Macaca fascicularis: one gene and its partner. The protein of the gene in region 1 purifies or fractionates together with the protein of each later gene. This does not show direct contact. Links are inferred from orthologs where the notes say so. Each region holds a gene or a part of one and is shown on either strand. Other genes may lie near its edges.

Region 1 (7,337 bases):
TTAAGAGTTGTACTTTTTATTGAATGTGAATTGTATCTTCATAAAACACTGTCTAAAAATATTACACTCTCCCCAACTCTCACCATAACCCATCTCTGCCCTAGACCCAGGGCATAAGATACCGAAGCAGAGGATTCGGAGAGGATGTATATTTGAAAAAGCTTCCCACTTCTCTCTGTTACTCCGAGTTGCCAAATATCCTTTTAGGAATTGGAATTAAGCTGGGGATGAATATATACATAGGTGTACATATAAAACTTTAAAATTTGTAAAAGGCCCTTAGAGATCATCAGTTTTCTTTACAAAACTGGCTTACTTTCCAGTTGGCTTTGATTTGGGGACCCTGTTCTGCTTTCAGTGGCTTCCGTGTCTTTGAAGGTGTAAAATGGATGCATTAATGAGAGGAACATATTGGGGCTGGGAGGAATCATGGAAGCCCACGGGATTCTTCTTTGTCTTTGTAGTTTGAATTGGGCTTATAAGAAGTTGATAATTGCTTTGAGAAATGTAATATTGACAAGTTCTTAGAATTGCAAAGCTTTAAAGCAAACATGTAGTGATGTGTTCAGGACCTATTCCATGAGTCAAATTCCTTTTCACCCTGATGTAGTATAAGGAGACTTGAGTGTGGCATAGATTTAGGAAATGGGTTTCTTTTTTCTTTTTTGAAAGAAGCTTGTGACTAGCTTTTATGTATTTATTCTGAGAATGAAAGGTTTTTGTCACTTCAAGCTGTACTTTCTATTTAGAAAATATTCTTATTTGTATTGCCTTTCTGTGATCTATTCTAAAGAAAAAGAAATATGACTGGTCAGATACACTTTATAGGCTTTTATATTAATAACACATTTTTTTCTTTTTCAAGAGAGGATCTCACTCTATCACCCAGGCTGGAGTGCAGTGGTGTGATCTCAGTTCACTACAGCCTCGACCTTCCGGGCTTATGCAATCCTCCCACCTCACTAGTAGCTGGGACTACAAGCCTACAGCTACCATGCCTGCCTAATTTTTGTATTTTGTGTAGAGTTGGGGTTTCGCCATGTTGCCCAGACTGTCTTTCTGTAGGTAAAATTATCTAAATTTTTAAAATGCATCTACAGGGTTAGTACTAAATCTTGGTGTTACTTATCATTGAACTCTCAGCCACATTCATTGGAGTCTCAACATTGATTTTCATCCGAAGGCGGTGTGAAAACAGTCCTGTCCCCAGACACTGGCTTTATCCACTGGCTTTATTGCTTAGCTTCCTCCATAGACTGCCATCTATCTGGAGAAGTGTACTTTGACGCAAGTTTAGACCTGGGAAAGACCTCAGAGATGAACTATTCCAACCAAGCTCTGCTCTCTTTGCCACACTCCACTTAGAAAATAAATTCAAGCCTAGAAGTGAAGTGGCTTGATCAGGCTGGCTTCCGAAGGCTGGTCAGAGGCAGAACTGGAACCCTTGTGTCTGCACAAGAAGGCCAACAAGTCCTTTGCTGCTTCTTTTATGCCACAACAGTCTCAGGGTGCTGTGCTCAGTTTGGTAGCATAGTGGTGTTAGAGCAACAAAATATATTTCCTAGTGTCTTTCCACTAGAAAAGACACCAACACCAGGCCTCCCATCTCCCAGGAAAGAGCAAAAGCCAGAGTTTTACATTGAGAGCCTGAAGGCATTTTCTTATCTTTAATCCTAATCCTGTTTGGGTCCAATTTCAAAGAGATTAAGAGCATGCACTTTAGGCCTGACAGACTAGGGACCTGATCATATCTTCCTAGTTGTATGACCCTCAGTGAGACAGGTAATTTCTTCATGCCTCACTTTCCTCATCTAGGAATGGGGGAGTGCTTTCCACACTTTCTGGAACACAGTCAGGCACTGCCTAATGTTTTCTTTGGAAACCTAGCGCGTCTGTACAGCTATTTCCTTTAAAATGTGAGAAAGTTGATTTCCCTTCAACCTTTTCTTTCCATCACTTTTGCATTGCACTCGGCGTTTTCTCTAATTCTTTATAGTTCTAGAGATTGGCAGATGCTCGAAGAAAATCAGAGTCACTACGGATTTATTTATTTTATTTCATTTTATTTTTTTGAGACGTAGTCTGGCCCTGTAGCCCAGGATGGAGTGCAGTGGCGCGATCTCGGCTCACTGCAACCTCCGCCTCCCGGGTTCAAGCAATTCTCCTGCCTCAGCCTCCCAAGTAGCTGGGACTACAGGCGCACGCCGCCACGCCCGGCTAACTTTTTGAATTTTAGTAGAGACGGGGTTTCACCGTGTTGCTCAAGCTGGTGTCGAACTTCTGAGCTCAGCCAATCCGCCCGCCTCGGCTTCCCAAAGTGCTGGGATTACAGGTGTGAGCCACCGTGCTTTTTGGTTTCCAGTTCTCTTCCCCAAGAGGCCAGGAATTTTTGCATGAGTTGCCAGACACTGAAGTGATTTGGGACAGCACATTCTGTGACAACGACTTCAAGGCTCTTTTTCAACAAAGGACTGGAATCTTAGCAAGATAACATATCCCAAGACATGTTAGCAATGCAAAGGACCACAGAAATCTAGACAAATTCTTTATTTTTACAGCTACAGAAACCTAGGATCTCAGGGGCTGGGATACTCCTCAGTTATCCAATCGGGCAGGGCCTAAAACTCAGGTTCAGTCTCCTGGCTCCAAGCTTTTTCCATCATACCAGCTGCGTCTCATTAACTCCACCTCCGAAAGTGCTAAGGAAGTTCCCTCCCAGTGCCTACCCAAGCAGGGTGGGGCGATTCTGTGGCATGGAACAAACCGGGAAAACGACATTTTCCAACTCTCAGCACAGAGGCTGCTTTTTATCATTCCTAGGGGGCAGGAGGGGGCAGGGAGAGAAGGCTAAGACACCGGGTCCAGTACCCAGAGGTTCTAGGGAGAGATCTTTGAGATTGCCTACTCGGTGAGGCCACCTTACTTTCTCCTGGTCTGTTTTCCCCTGTGAGGTGGCTGCATGAGGCGTCCTGCTTGGAGGGTTCCCCAATATAAGGTGGACTGTCCTTGATCTAGGTCGGGGTGGGCAAGATCCTGCCGCCACCCCGTCTCTGCGGTCCTCGGAAGTCTAGGTGGGATCTTCCTTTCCTTGCCTCTTTCTTCCCAACGGCGGGAGCGGCACAGGGTTGGGGTGGTTGCGGTCGCCTCGCTCTCTCCACTTCAACGTCTCTTACTCCAGGGAGTTTCATCCGGTCCTCCGTCCTCGGCCCCCACCTTTTAAAACATTTTCCAAAACTACACCATTAAAAGTGCGCGACTTCTCCGGGCCTGCAGAAGGAGCTCCTGCAGCCCGGCATTCCTCGGATTCCAGCGCTGTGACGTCCCCAAGGACGGCGCGCCTCCAGCTTGGGAGCTCTGGAGCTGGGGCTCCACGTTTCAGCGCGCGCCCGCGGCGCCCCCGGCGCGCGCCCTCCCGGGCCGCATTCCTCCCCGCCCCCGGCCGCGCGCCCCGCGCTCCCTCCGCCTCCAGGCCCCCAGCGCTGCCGAGCCCGGCTCTGGGGTGGGGGAGCCGTGGCCGCCGGCGCTTGCTCCGTCCCCTCCCACTCGCACGGCCCCTTCCTCCCTCCTCTGCCGGCCGCTCGCATTTCCTGCCGCTCTGGCTCTCCCGGCCCCTCAAAGTTCTTCCCAACTTTTTCTCCGTGGAGTGAGCGCAGGGGACGCAGACTCGGGGGCAGGTTGCTGTGCTCCTCCGGGCTCGGCCGCCTGCTCTGCTGGCTCAGGTCCTTGGGGAGCCCTAGACAGACACAAGTGGCCACTGGCGCTCCTTCCCCTCCCAGCTGAGCCATCCTCCCCGGCCTCCTGGAACGGGACAGCCAGTGCTTAGGTTTTTCTCCTTTTCTTCCCCGGTGCGCCTCTGCTCCGACTCTCGCGCCAGGATCGCGGCGGAAACCTCCCTCCCCTTTCGCCTCCTGCGGCTCCTTCCCTTCGCCCCTCCTCCGCCAGCCACTGGAATCAATTCCGTGGGGAATCGGGGCTTCGCCGCCGCGAAGGACAGCCTTTCCGCGCGGGACTCCGGGGCGCCACGGGGGCCATGTAAGCAGGTAAGCCCCGTCCAAGCCGGGGAGTCGGGCCCGAGGTTGGAGGCCGCCTCGGCGCTCCGGGCGCCCTGCAGATGACTTGGGCAGACGCTGGCAACGCCAACTTGCGATTGGCGGCCCGGGACGCCTGGCAGGGCAGCGGGGGCGCTGGGTGGCCGGGCCGCAGGGGTGTTATATCGCGGTGGGAGCTGCCCGTGGTGAGGCGCAAAGCTTGTCCCGGAGCGAGCTGGAAGGTGAGCGCCGTCTGGGGAGTTTGTGGTTAAACCCACACCCTCGTCTTCTCTCTCCCTTCCCTTCTGCGTTTTGGGAATGAGAGAGGGCCTCGGAGGGGCACCTGGAGATACCTAAACCTTGGGGGCTAGAGGATGAAAGACGAACGACGTCGCGGTCGCTGCAGCGGTAGGGGGACGCAGCTGCCCGACGCCCCGAGTTACCCCCCACCACCACCGGGAAGGGATCTTGAGGCGAGCGGAGTTTTCCTGCCCTCTCACTAGGCCTCAGTGGTGCCACCGAACTCCTGGGCGTCGAGGCTCCTACTTGGGTGGTCGGGCTGGCTCGTAGAAAAAAGCTGTGGTCACACAATTTCAGATCAGGTCTCCACCTCAAACTTTTCAAGTTCTAGGTATTAACAGCCTCTCCTTCCCCACGTGACCCCCAGATCTCGGGTTTGAATACTTGTAAATGGGTTTTACACCTTTTCGTTTGGAGAGAGCAGTGAGGTAACGCTGCCCCTACCTCCCTTTTCCTCTCACTTCCTTCAGTTCCTGTCCTCCAGCCCCCTCATCCCCACCTACAATTTCAGAGATTGTAGGGTTTCCGCTTAAGTCTGGGGACTGGCTGTCGCAGGTTCTTTGTGAAGGTGAGAAATCTCTAGATTGCAGGCGCGGGCAGTTACAGAGTTTCCACCAATGTGTTAACTTCTTGAAATGGATTAGTTTACTCATTCATCCAACAAACCCAGCTTCCACTCTGCTAGGAACAGGGGATAGAAAGATGCTAAACGAGATCACAGGGCAGGAGTCTGCAGCCTAGTGGAGGAAACCTGAAGGCAGATGAAGAATGATAATGCGTGGAAGATGGGTTCTGTGAGAGTCTGAGGCGAGCTTGGTCCTGGTGAGGCGTGCACTGCGCTTAGAGAATGGAGATTGTGCTCATCTGGAGGGTGTATTCCAGGCAGAGGAAACAGCTGGTGCAGAGTGAACACAAGAAGGACCGAAAGTTTCCCTAGCCATCTGGGGGCCCAAGGGGCATTTATGGCCATGTTGGTGCAGTGTTGCTGGGATAGCATTCTCTCCACCCCCAATATAAGAAATTAATCTAGGAGTGCGTTAGCCACTGATGGGAACCACAAGTAGCTTCCAGTGGAGCCAAGGCCTCCCTCTTTGGATACACTTCCATGCCTGCTGCTGTTTTACCACAAGCAGCTGTTGTATGATCATCTAAATTTTAATTGGCCCATGCTCGGTTTCGTTAACATGGTATTGATTATTCTTCTTTTTTATCCCCCACATTCAAACAATGATTCCTTTTTTAAAAGGCTGCTTGACAGCCATAGGTGTGGTAATACAAGGCTTTACGGACCTTGTATTATAAAGTTACCTAATTGTTTGGTGATGGGGTTAAAGCTTGTGCCATAGAAATGACAGCCTTAATGAGCGGGAGCTGAATGGCATGATGCCCTTTTTGCCCAGTCTGAATGGGTGGCCATGTGGTGCAAAATTAGTTCATCTGTATGTCACGAAGTTTGTTATACTTTTCTCTACTTTGAAGTCATTACTATTGCTTTAGCACGCACAGTTGTAAGGACTGTCGTTCTTCTCTCTGAAACTTTATGAAAATAGAAAACACTATCTTCTTGCAGATTTTTGTAGCCTAATGGCCCAGGATTCAGCAAATCCTGGCTAGAAAAGTTTCTTACAATGCAGTAGCGTTCTGTACGTGGTTTGCCTTTCAAGGGTGCCTCTTCACTGGACTGAAGTGGTGCTGTAGTATTGTTCCTAGTGGCTGAGTCCTGGCCGAGGTGGCAGACATCCAGCTTTTGGTGACCTCAGGCCAGTACATCAGAGTAGGAAGAACACAGTGACTTCCTACACCTTTGGGTGTTTATCCAAGCCCCTCGACCAGCATCTTTTCTTATCTCAAGAACAGCCCCTTCACAGAAGGTTTCCTGAAGGTGTGGGGACCTGCATGAGAGACATGGTTGAAGAGAAGCCCTTTCCCGCGAATCCCAGGCATTTGCCCAGTTTCCATCATTGGCTTCAACATGTAATTATTATTAACACTTGAGTTATTCAGGTTTGTGCATACTGTGTCACGCTGGTAGCTGTACTAGAAAGAACAGTTAGACTTTTAATAGGGAAGCACCATAAGGAATTCAGAGAAAAATCAGAATTTTTAGAATAATTCTTACTTGCCCTGGACGTATGGGCTAAGTGTCAAGAACTATGAGGACTTTTTATTTTCCAGTGCCTTCCTTCCTTATTAGAGGTTTAAATTTGCTCCAGGGAAGCAAACATCAACCCTTTGATTGCATATTATAGCCCTCCTGGGTTTCATATTCTTGTCATTTTTGAGCAAGGATTTCGTCAAATTCTTGCATTTGAGCTTCATTACTTAGTCACCAAATGCTGTGTTTTTAAAAAATTCATTTTAAGCCTCAGAACAGTGCTGTGAGCTTTGTTAGAGATAATGCATGAGAAAGAGATAAGATGAAATACTTAATTAGCCAATTAAGGAATGAGGGAAAACAAACACTAAAGCTTTGGTAGGGAGGAAGTTCAAGTTAATGTCTAAAATACGTTTTTGGATCTCCCCTTACGGATTTAATTTGATTTAATTAATACTTCCTCTGTATGCATCTCACCGATGGCTTATTGAATGGTCCAAGGGGTATGTGTGGTAAGTTCTATAGCTTTTCCTGGCTGTCGGTGTGCTAGAGCAGGCGGTCCAGGTTTGGGAGTTTGAAATATAACTAGGTTGGAATTCCAGCTCTGCTATTTTTTAGCTGTGTGATGTTGGATGAACTTCATAGCCCTTCTGAGCCTCAGTTTCTTCATCTGCAAAATGGATCTGATAACATTTAGCCTCTCAGGATGTGTATGGAGAATTCAGTGTCATGCTGTATAACAGCACCTCACACAGAATAGGTCAAGGATGGCTATTTATATGTTCAAGGACTTGTATGTGGCCATGAATGTTCTCTTTGTGTGTTATTTTTTCAGCAGCCTGAATTCACATGTGTGTAAACATACACATAAAGCTTTGTCTCTAACTTTTTTTTTCAGTCTATTGGCTCAAAAC
Region 2 (6,690 bases), on another chromosome or scaffold:
GTGCAGACTTCTGAGTTCAGGAGAAGCCAGGCTGTGCTTCCCTCCTGCAGGGCACTCAGGGCAGAGACGGGCAGGTGTGAGGGCCCATACTTCACAAAGGGCAGCTTGAAAGGGGATGTGGAACAGCTGGGCCAGGGGGAGGAATCTTTTAAGGGCCAAGTAGAGGAAACCCTTTCTCATCCAGCAGACCAACAGGCAGGAGTTGGAGAAGAACTCAGAGAGACAGGTATGCACCCTTTTGAGAGGGCCGATGTCTGCAGTTTCTTCTAACCCCTGGTTATGGGGAAGGTGTGGAGGGCGTTTCACATGCAATACACCTGGATTCTGAGGAAGACTTCGGGCTGTCACTAGGAGAGGCTTTGATGATAACATCAGAGACAAACTGTGGCCCACTAGGAGGGTTTCTGTGCCTCTCCCCAGTGCCTTCCTCATGCTTATCCCAGGGAAGGTTTCATCTCAGCACCAGCAAGAACGGAGGGACTGGCCAGTGCACCCTGCACTGCAGGGAGAAAGGGCTGCTGGTGTCTGCCTTCTGGGATTGTAGGAGCCAAGTGGGAAATATGAACAAGAACACAAAGACAGGCACCTGTAGTTCAAAGCAGACATTAAAGGGCTGAAAGAGCAGCTGCTGAGCATCACCTGGAGAAGGCTGAGGACGCTCCCTAGTGATGGGGGAGGGGCAGCACTGAAAGTGCTGGGTCAGGGTCACATTCTGACGTCATCCTGGTGCCCCCTGAAAGCACTAGGAAAAGGCTTCATTTTAATAAAAGCAATATTGAGTTTTAAAACTTACTTCCAAAGTGTTTCTCTTGTTTCAGAAGACATGGATTTTAGTAGAGTTTGGGGCTTTCTTCAGACCTTTGTGCACCTTTTAATTCAGTTAGTCTACTTCATATTACTTTTTTCCTTGTTGAGTTTTTATTTATATTTGAAAGATTTTTTAAATGACTGCTGCTTTTAAAAATACACCTTTGAAAGCCATGAATTAAGAATTTATCACGCTTTTGAAGTATTAAAGAAAATGGCAAGAATTACTTTTTTAGTGTAACATACAATGGAATAGCGGTGTTGACACATCAAAGGGATAGATACCTATAAACAAAATATGGGCATGTTTCCTTACTGCCAGAAACATATATCACATTTCAAAGAGATTCGAAATTAAGGAAATTTTATTTTTCTCCAAAGAAAAGTGGCTAATTTCTATATCACCACTTTGCAGGGCATGCGGAGGCTTTAAACAAGTCAGATTTGTTTTTCTTCTCTGTCGAGTACTTCCCCATACATCTCTTTAACAGCCTTGCCAGGGAGACACAGGGGAATTATAGTCACCGGTTTACAGATTAGAAAAGGAAGACCCTTGATTCAGTGACTTACCCAAGGATAGGCAGCTAGTAAGCTGCAAATCAAGATGAGAAACCCAGATGCCCTTTTCCTGAGTTCCATTCTGCTGCTCACTACTCTGAACTAGTGTATTTCAATGATGTCTAAAGACCTTCATATGACATAGGCTATCCTTACACAGACTCTTAGTTGCATAAATCCCTGGGTACGTAGTATATTCTAAAATGACTTACTATTCAAGTATACAGTTCTATAATGCTGTATTCTAATTTAAAAAAAAAAACTTTTGCAGCTGAGTGTGGGTGAAATTTTATGATAATCTGACACAGATAATGAGATGTGCTATGGGTTGGAAGGGAAATCACTTTTAGCTCATCCTCTTCCTTAAACAGTTGAGCCCAAATTAGCCCACAGTGGTAATGTGGACTAAAATTGTTTCTTAATTGCTGAAATTCTTATCAAATTAGGGTTGGGAATGTTATCGCCAAATATTATGTTGGAACAAGCGTTACTAAATTCGGTATTTAGGGTGACCTTTACTATTGCTGTGAAATGTTTTAGGAAAGGGTTCCCAAGTCACAGATCTGTGTCAGGATTCTTAGTCTTTGTTTAGTTTTTTTGTTTTCATGGTTGTTTCCTCCTCAATCTTCTTCCCCAACTCAAAGGACCATGTTATTTACCCATTTAAAAAGATTCTAGACTACCAGCAATTTTAAATTCTCAGTGACATTGGTGATTGGGCATGATGCTCTCTCCCCATTCTTCAGCTTGGCTGTGTGCAGCTCTGCCTCCGACACTCCTTGCTGAGTGTCCTGTTTTCTGTCTGTGGAGCCCATTCACATTTTCCCCTTGTGATCTGTAATGCTTATACAATAAGAATCTTTCTTTTCTTTCAGTTTTCATATTTTGTTACAATCATTTGAAAATAATTTTTTTCTTCCTAGATTGAGATTGGAAGAGAGAAGAAAAGAGCTGTTACAGAAACTTGAAGAAACTACTAGATTAACTACTTATTTGCATTCACAACTTAAAAGGTGAGCTTATCAGATTTCTGAGGGGAAAACTTTGAATACATTCAGGCATATTCTTGTTCATCTCTGATTACTTTTCACTTTATTTCCAACTACTTAAAAGTAAATAAAATCATTATACTAGTACAGTTAATATTTGAGTGATCAGATTTAAAGTCACATTTTCTTTTTCATGAACCCAGTGTCATATTTGGAATACATTTGAAATATGTTATAGAAAGAAGATATGTTTTAGCTGTCAATACACTTAGGAAAATAACACATTTTTCCCATTGCCCCATTTTTTAAAAAGGGAAAACGGGGGAGTTTTGCCTTCAAATAGCCATAGATTTCCTTATATTGATGAAAAAAAAATTCACTCCTCACATTGACACACAAAGAGGAAAGATGAGCGAAACCAAGGGTCTTTTGTGTGACTTCTTTCTTTTTATTAGCTTGCCTTCTTTTCTCTAAAAATAAAAAGCTTTTTTTTTTAAAAAAAATAAAAATCTACATTAATGTTTTTGCCCTGTTTCTCTTTTTTTCTTTCAATATTTTTTAATCACAAAGTGGCTTCTAGATGTCTGTGCAAATAAACTTATCAGCAAGTATTTGATTCTTTTTATTTTTGCAAAAGGAGGATAATGTTTAATACTACTACTAGCTACTTAAAGAGTATTTGGAGAGCAAGGCTGAAAAGGTTAGTGAAGAAGCATAGACATGGTATACAGTTATGTGCCACATGATGACTGTTTGTCAAGGACAGACTGCATATATGATGGTGGTCCCATAAGATTATAATACTGTATTTTTACCGTGCTTTTTCTAGTTTAGCTATGTTTAGACACACAAATACTACCATTGTGTTATAATTGCCTACAGTATTCAGAACAGCAACTACTGTGCATGTTCATAGCCTGGGAGCAATAGGCTACGCCCTATAGCTTGGGTGTGCAGTGGGCTGTACCGTCTAGGTTTGTGTAAGTACACTCTGTGATGTTTGCACACACAGCCTGGAATCAGTAGGCTACACCCTATAGGTTGGGTGTGCAATGGGCTGTACCATCTAGGTTTGTGTAAGTACACTCTGTGATGTTTGCACACACAGCCTGGGAGCAATAGGCTACACCATATAGCTTGAGTGTGCAGTGGGCTGTACCATCTAGGTTTGTGTAAGTACACTCTGTGATGTTTGCACACACAGCCTGGAATCAATAGGCTACACCATATAGCTTGGGTGTACAGTGGGCTGTACCGTCTCGGTTTGTGTAAGTACACTCTGTGATGTTTGCACACACAGCCTGGAATCAATAGGCTACACCCTATAGCTTGGGTGTGCAGTGGGCTGTACCGTCTCGGTTTGCGTAAGTACACTCTGTGATGTTTGCACAGTGATGAAATCACCTAACATGCATTTCTCAGAACTCGACCTGGTTGTTAACTGACACGTGGCCGTGATAGGGATTTCCTCTGTCCCTGGCCATTGATTCCATTCTTAACAGGTTTCTGCCCTCTGCAGATCTGAAGGAGCCAGTAGGGATTGTGATAGGTTTTCCATTTTGTAGCAGATTTTATGGTGTGTGCTTTTCATCTTTCAGCCTCTCTGCCAGCACCCTGTCCGTGTCATCTGGGAGCAGCCTGGGTTCCCTGGCATCAAGTCGGGGCTCTCTGAACACCTCCAGCAGAGGGTCACTCAACTCCCTCAGTTCCACTGACCTCTATTACAGCAGTCAAAGTGATCAGATAGATGTGGATTATCAGTATAAACTGGACTTCCTTCTGCAAGAGAAAAGTGGTTACATTCCTTCCGGACCCATTACCACCATCCATGAAAACGAGGTGGTCAAGTCCCCCAGCCAGCCTGGCCAGAGTGGACTCTGTGGGGTGGCAGCTGCAGCAACAGGCCACACTCCTCCGCTGGCTGAGGGCCCCAAGTCTGTGGCCTCCCTGTCCTCGAGGTCCTCCCTTTCCTCCTTGTCTCCTCCAGGCTCTCCCTTGGTTTTGGAAGGCACGTTTCCCTTGTCTTCTCGTGATGCCCCTCTCCATCAGTTCTCTGCTGACTTTGAAGACTGTGAATTGAGTAGCCATTTTGCAGATATCGGCCTTGTCGAAAATCAGATTTTGCTGGATTCTGATTCAGGAGGAGCCTCCCAGTCTCTTTCAGAGGATAAAGACCTTAATGAATGTGCTGGTGAGCCATTATATGAAGGAACTGCAGGTAAATGCAGCCCTTTGCTTTCATGTATTCCCTCTTGGTGATTTTAAGGAGGATGATTGGAGGGTTATTTTTCCATATAAACAAAAGGGTATGATTCCCCTTCTCTTTCTTTTGAGTAATTGTTTTGGCTTCATTTAAGAAGGAGTTTTTACTTATATACCTAGATATTTTTCATTATCAAATAAAAATCACCTTCCCTATTTAATAGACTTAATCATTTAGTACCTGTTCAGTTGTCCAGAGACACTCTGTGTGTGGTAGCTGACGAGGAACGTATTTTGTGAACCCATTTCATATTTCCAAATAGATTCCGGTTCTGAAATAGCAAGGCAAAGAGGATTGTCTTTTAAAAGTTGGCCTAAAACAGATTAAAACCAAGGCAATTAACATACTAGCTAATTAGTACCAAGGTTCAGTGTTTAGATTGTTGAGGGAATTCTATATAAATACAGTTTTTGTTTCAAGCCAGACTCTCCTTTTCTGGCAAAAGTTAATTTGGAGCAGCAGGTTGCAGTGTATGGTATTACCCTGCCACCTTCTGGCCAGGTGAACTGTTGCAGCCCCGGGAAGAGATTACTAGAGATTGGAGTTCTTAGGCCTGCATTTGTATTCAAAAAGACAGAAACAGGAAAAATATAATGTTTTGTTTGTTTGTTTTCCTTTGCAAGGCAGGAACTTTGAATATGTTAGATGTGATTGTAAAGAGCACAAGATGGTACTCTTGTTGGCAGATGATCACTGTTGGTCTGAGGAGGAGGATCTGTTCCAGAGCTAGCTTGAGACAGAATGTGAAATAAAAGCCCCCGTGCTAGTCTAGAGGAGTCCTGTTCATAGCTACATGTTTTACTGACGAAAGAGGGCAGGGCTCTTTAGAAGTGCTCTTTTCCTGTTCCTAGAAGCATTTTTATTTGTATGTATGGTCCTAAGAATTCTAAGTAATCGATTGGCCAATTCAGATGTGTAAAGACATTGACAAATCCACCGTGTTTCTGTGGTTTCAAATACTGAAGACCCAAGTGCTGTGCCCTGCCAGTGGCCTGGGGCAGAGGGAGGGCCCATGAGACATCTGTGTGGTTTGTGCGCCCCCTCCTGGGCAGATGTCAAAGCTACAAGTAACAGGTTATAGAAATAACCACAAAGAAAATAACCAGGGGAATGGTGCATACGTAATGGCCCCAAAGAAACAGAAAGCCGTGTGGGGCCTTCACCACTGCTTCTGGGAAGGAGTATGGTTGTGTGTGTGTGTGTGTGTGTGTGTGTGTGTGTGTGTGTGTGTGTGTTAGGGGGTGCATACCACTCCTGGAACCAGCCAAGCCTCCACTCACACTTTAGTCACCAACATGTTTGGGTAAGCACACTACCTAGTCTCTCAGGATTGTGGTTCCTTATCTGCAAAATGGGGTTGCTACAGTAATCCTTGTGTCAGGCTGAAGGATTAATGCGGTGATACATGTGAAGCACCTAACCATGTCTGGCACTCAGCACACAGTTCATGATAATTATTAGTACTCTGTGACAGTGATGATGATAAGTAATAAACTCTGGCTAAACACAATTCTTACCATAAACTATGGAAAGCTATGAGAAGAAGAAAGAGAAGAAAGTGAAATGTTCTCTGTGCCCGTGTTCCATCCTGTGCTTTGAACTTACATCTCTTGACCCTTCAAGCTAGTTTTGCTCTTCCTGTATTTGGAGTGGTATCTACTGACCACTTCTAATGTTCAGTCAGTTTGGAGGGGCAGTAAGTGAGGCTGGATGCTGGAGAAGAGGGGAGAGAGTGATGAGGGGAAAAGTTGCCTAAAGTCTGTCACCCACCCAGTAATCCTGAGGTCTGGGAGTCCTGTCTTGCAGATGTCTCTGGTTGGCCCATGCCTTTTTCCTGACACTTGGGTCTTGCTGTGTCTGAAAAGTTTGTGGCTGGAGACAGGTATCTCTGAATCTTTTGTGAAACAGTTTTTAACTTTTTAAATGCATATATTAGAAAACTGCTGTTAAAAAGTTACCCTAAGAGAAAATACATCCAAGAACTTTGATTGCAGATAATATTCAGTTGCATGTCCAAAAACAAGTGACAGCATGCATTTAACCGTAAAGACTAATTCTCACAAATTAGCTGGG

What was found. Proteins that work in one complex are often made in the same cells at the same time.
Region 2: the proteins of PTPN14 (region 1) and WWC2 purify together in Homo sapiens (affinity purification with mass spectrometry, with the first as the bait; 3 studies listed by BioGRID). This does not show direct contact. The link is inferred for Macaca fascicularis from reciprocal best matches to the Homo sapiens genes PTPN14 and WWC2.

The regions. Positions count from the first base shown.
Region 1 is NC_088375.1:72,330,541-72,337,877, reverse strand, and holds the start of PTPN14 (tyrosine-protein phosphatase non-receptor type 14), read left to right. Parts: upstream 1-3,450; 5' UTR 3,451-4,040; intron 4,041-4,143; exon of another isoform or gene 4,144-4,270; intron 4,271-7,337. UniProt on the Homo sapiens protein: Protein tyrosine phosphatase which may play a role in the regulation of lymphangiogenesis, cell-cell adhesion, cell-matrix adhesion, cell migration, cell growth and also regulates TGF-beta gene expression, thereby modulating epithelial-mesenchymal transition.
Region 2 is NC_088379.1:188,038,024-188,044,713, forward strand, and holds part of WWC2 (protein WWC2), read left to right. Parts: intron 1-2,288; coding exon 2,289-2,378; intron 2,379-3,952; coding exon 3,953-4,572; intron 4,573-6,690. UniProt on the Homo sapiens protein: Regulator of the Hippo signaling pathway, also known as the Salvador-Warts-Hippo (SWH) pathway.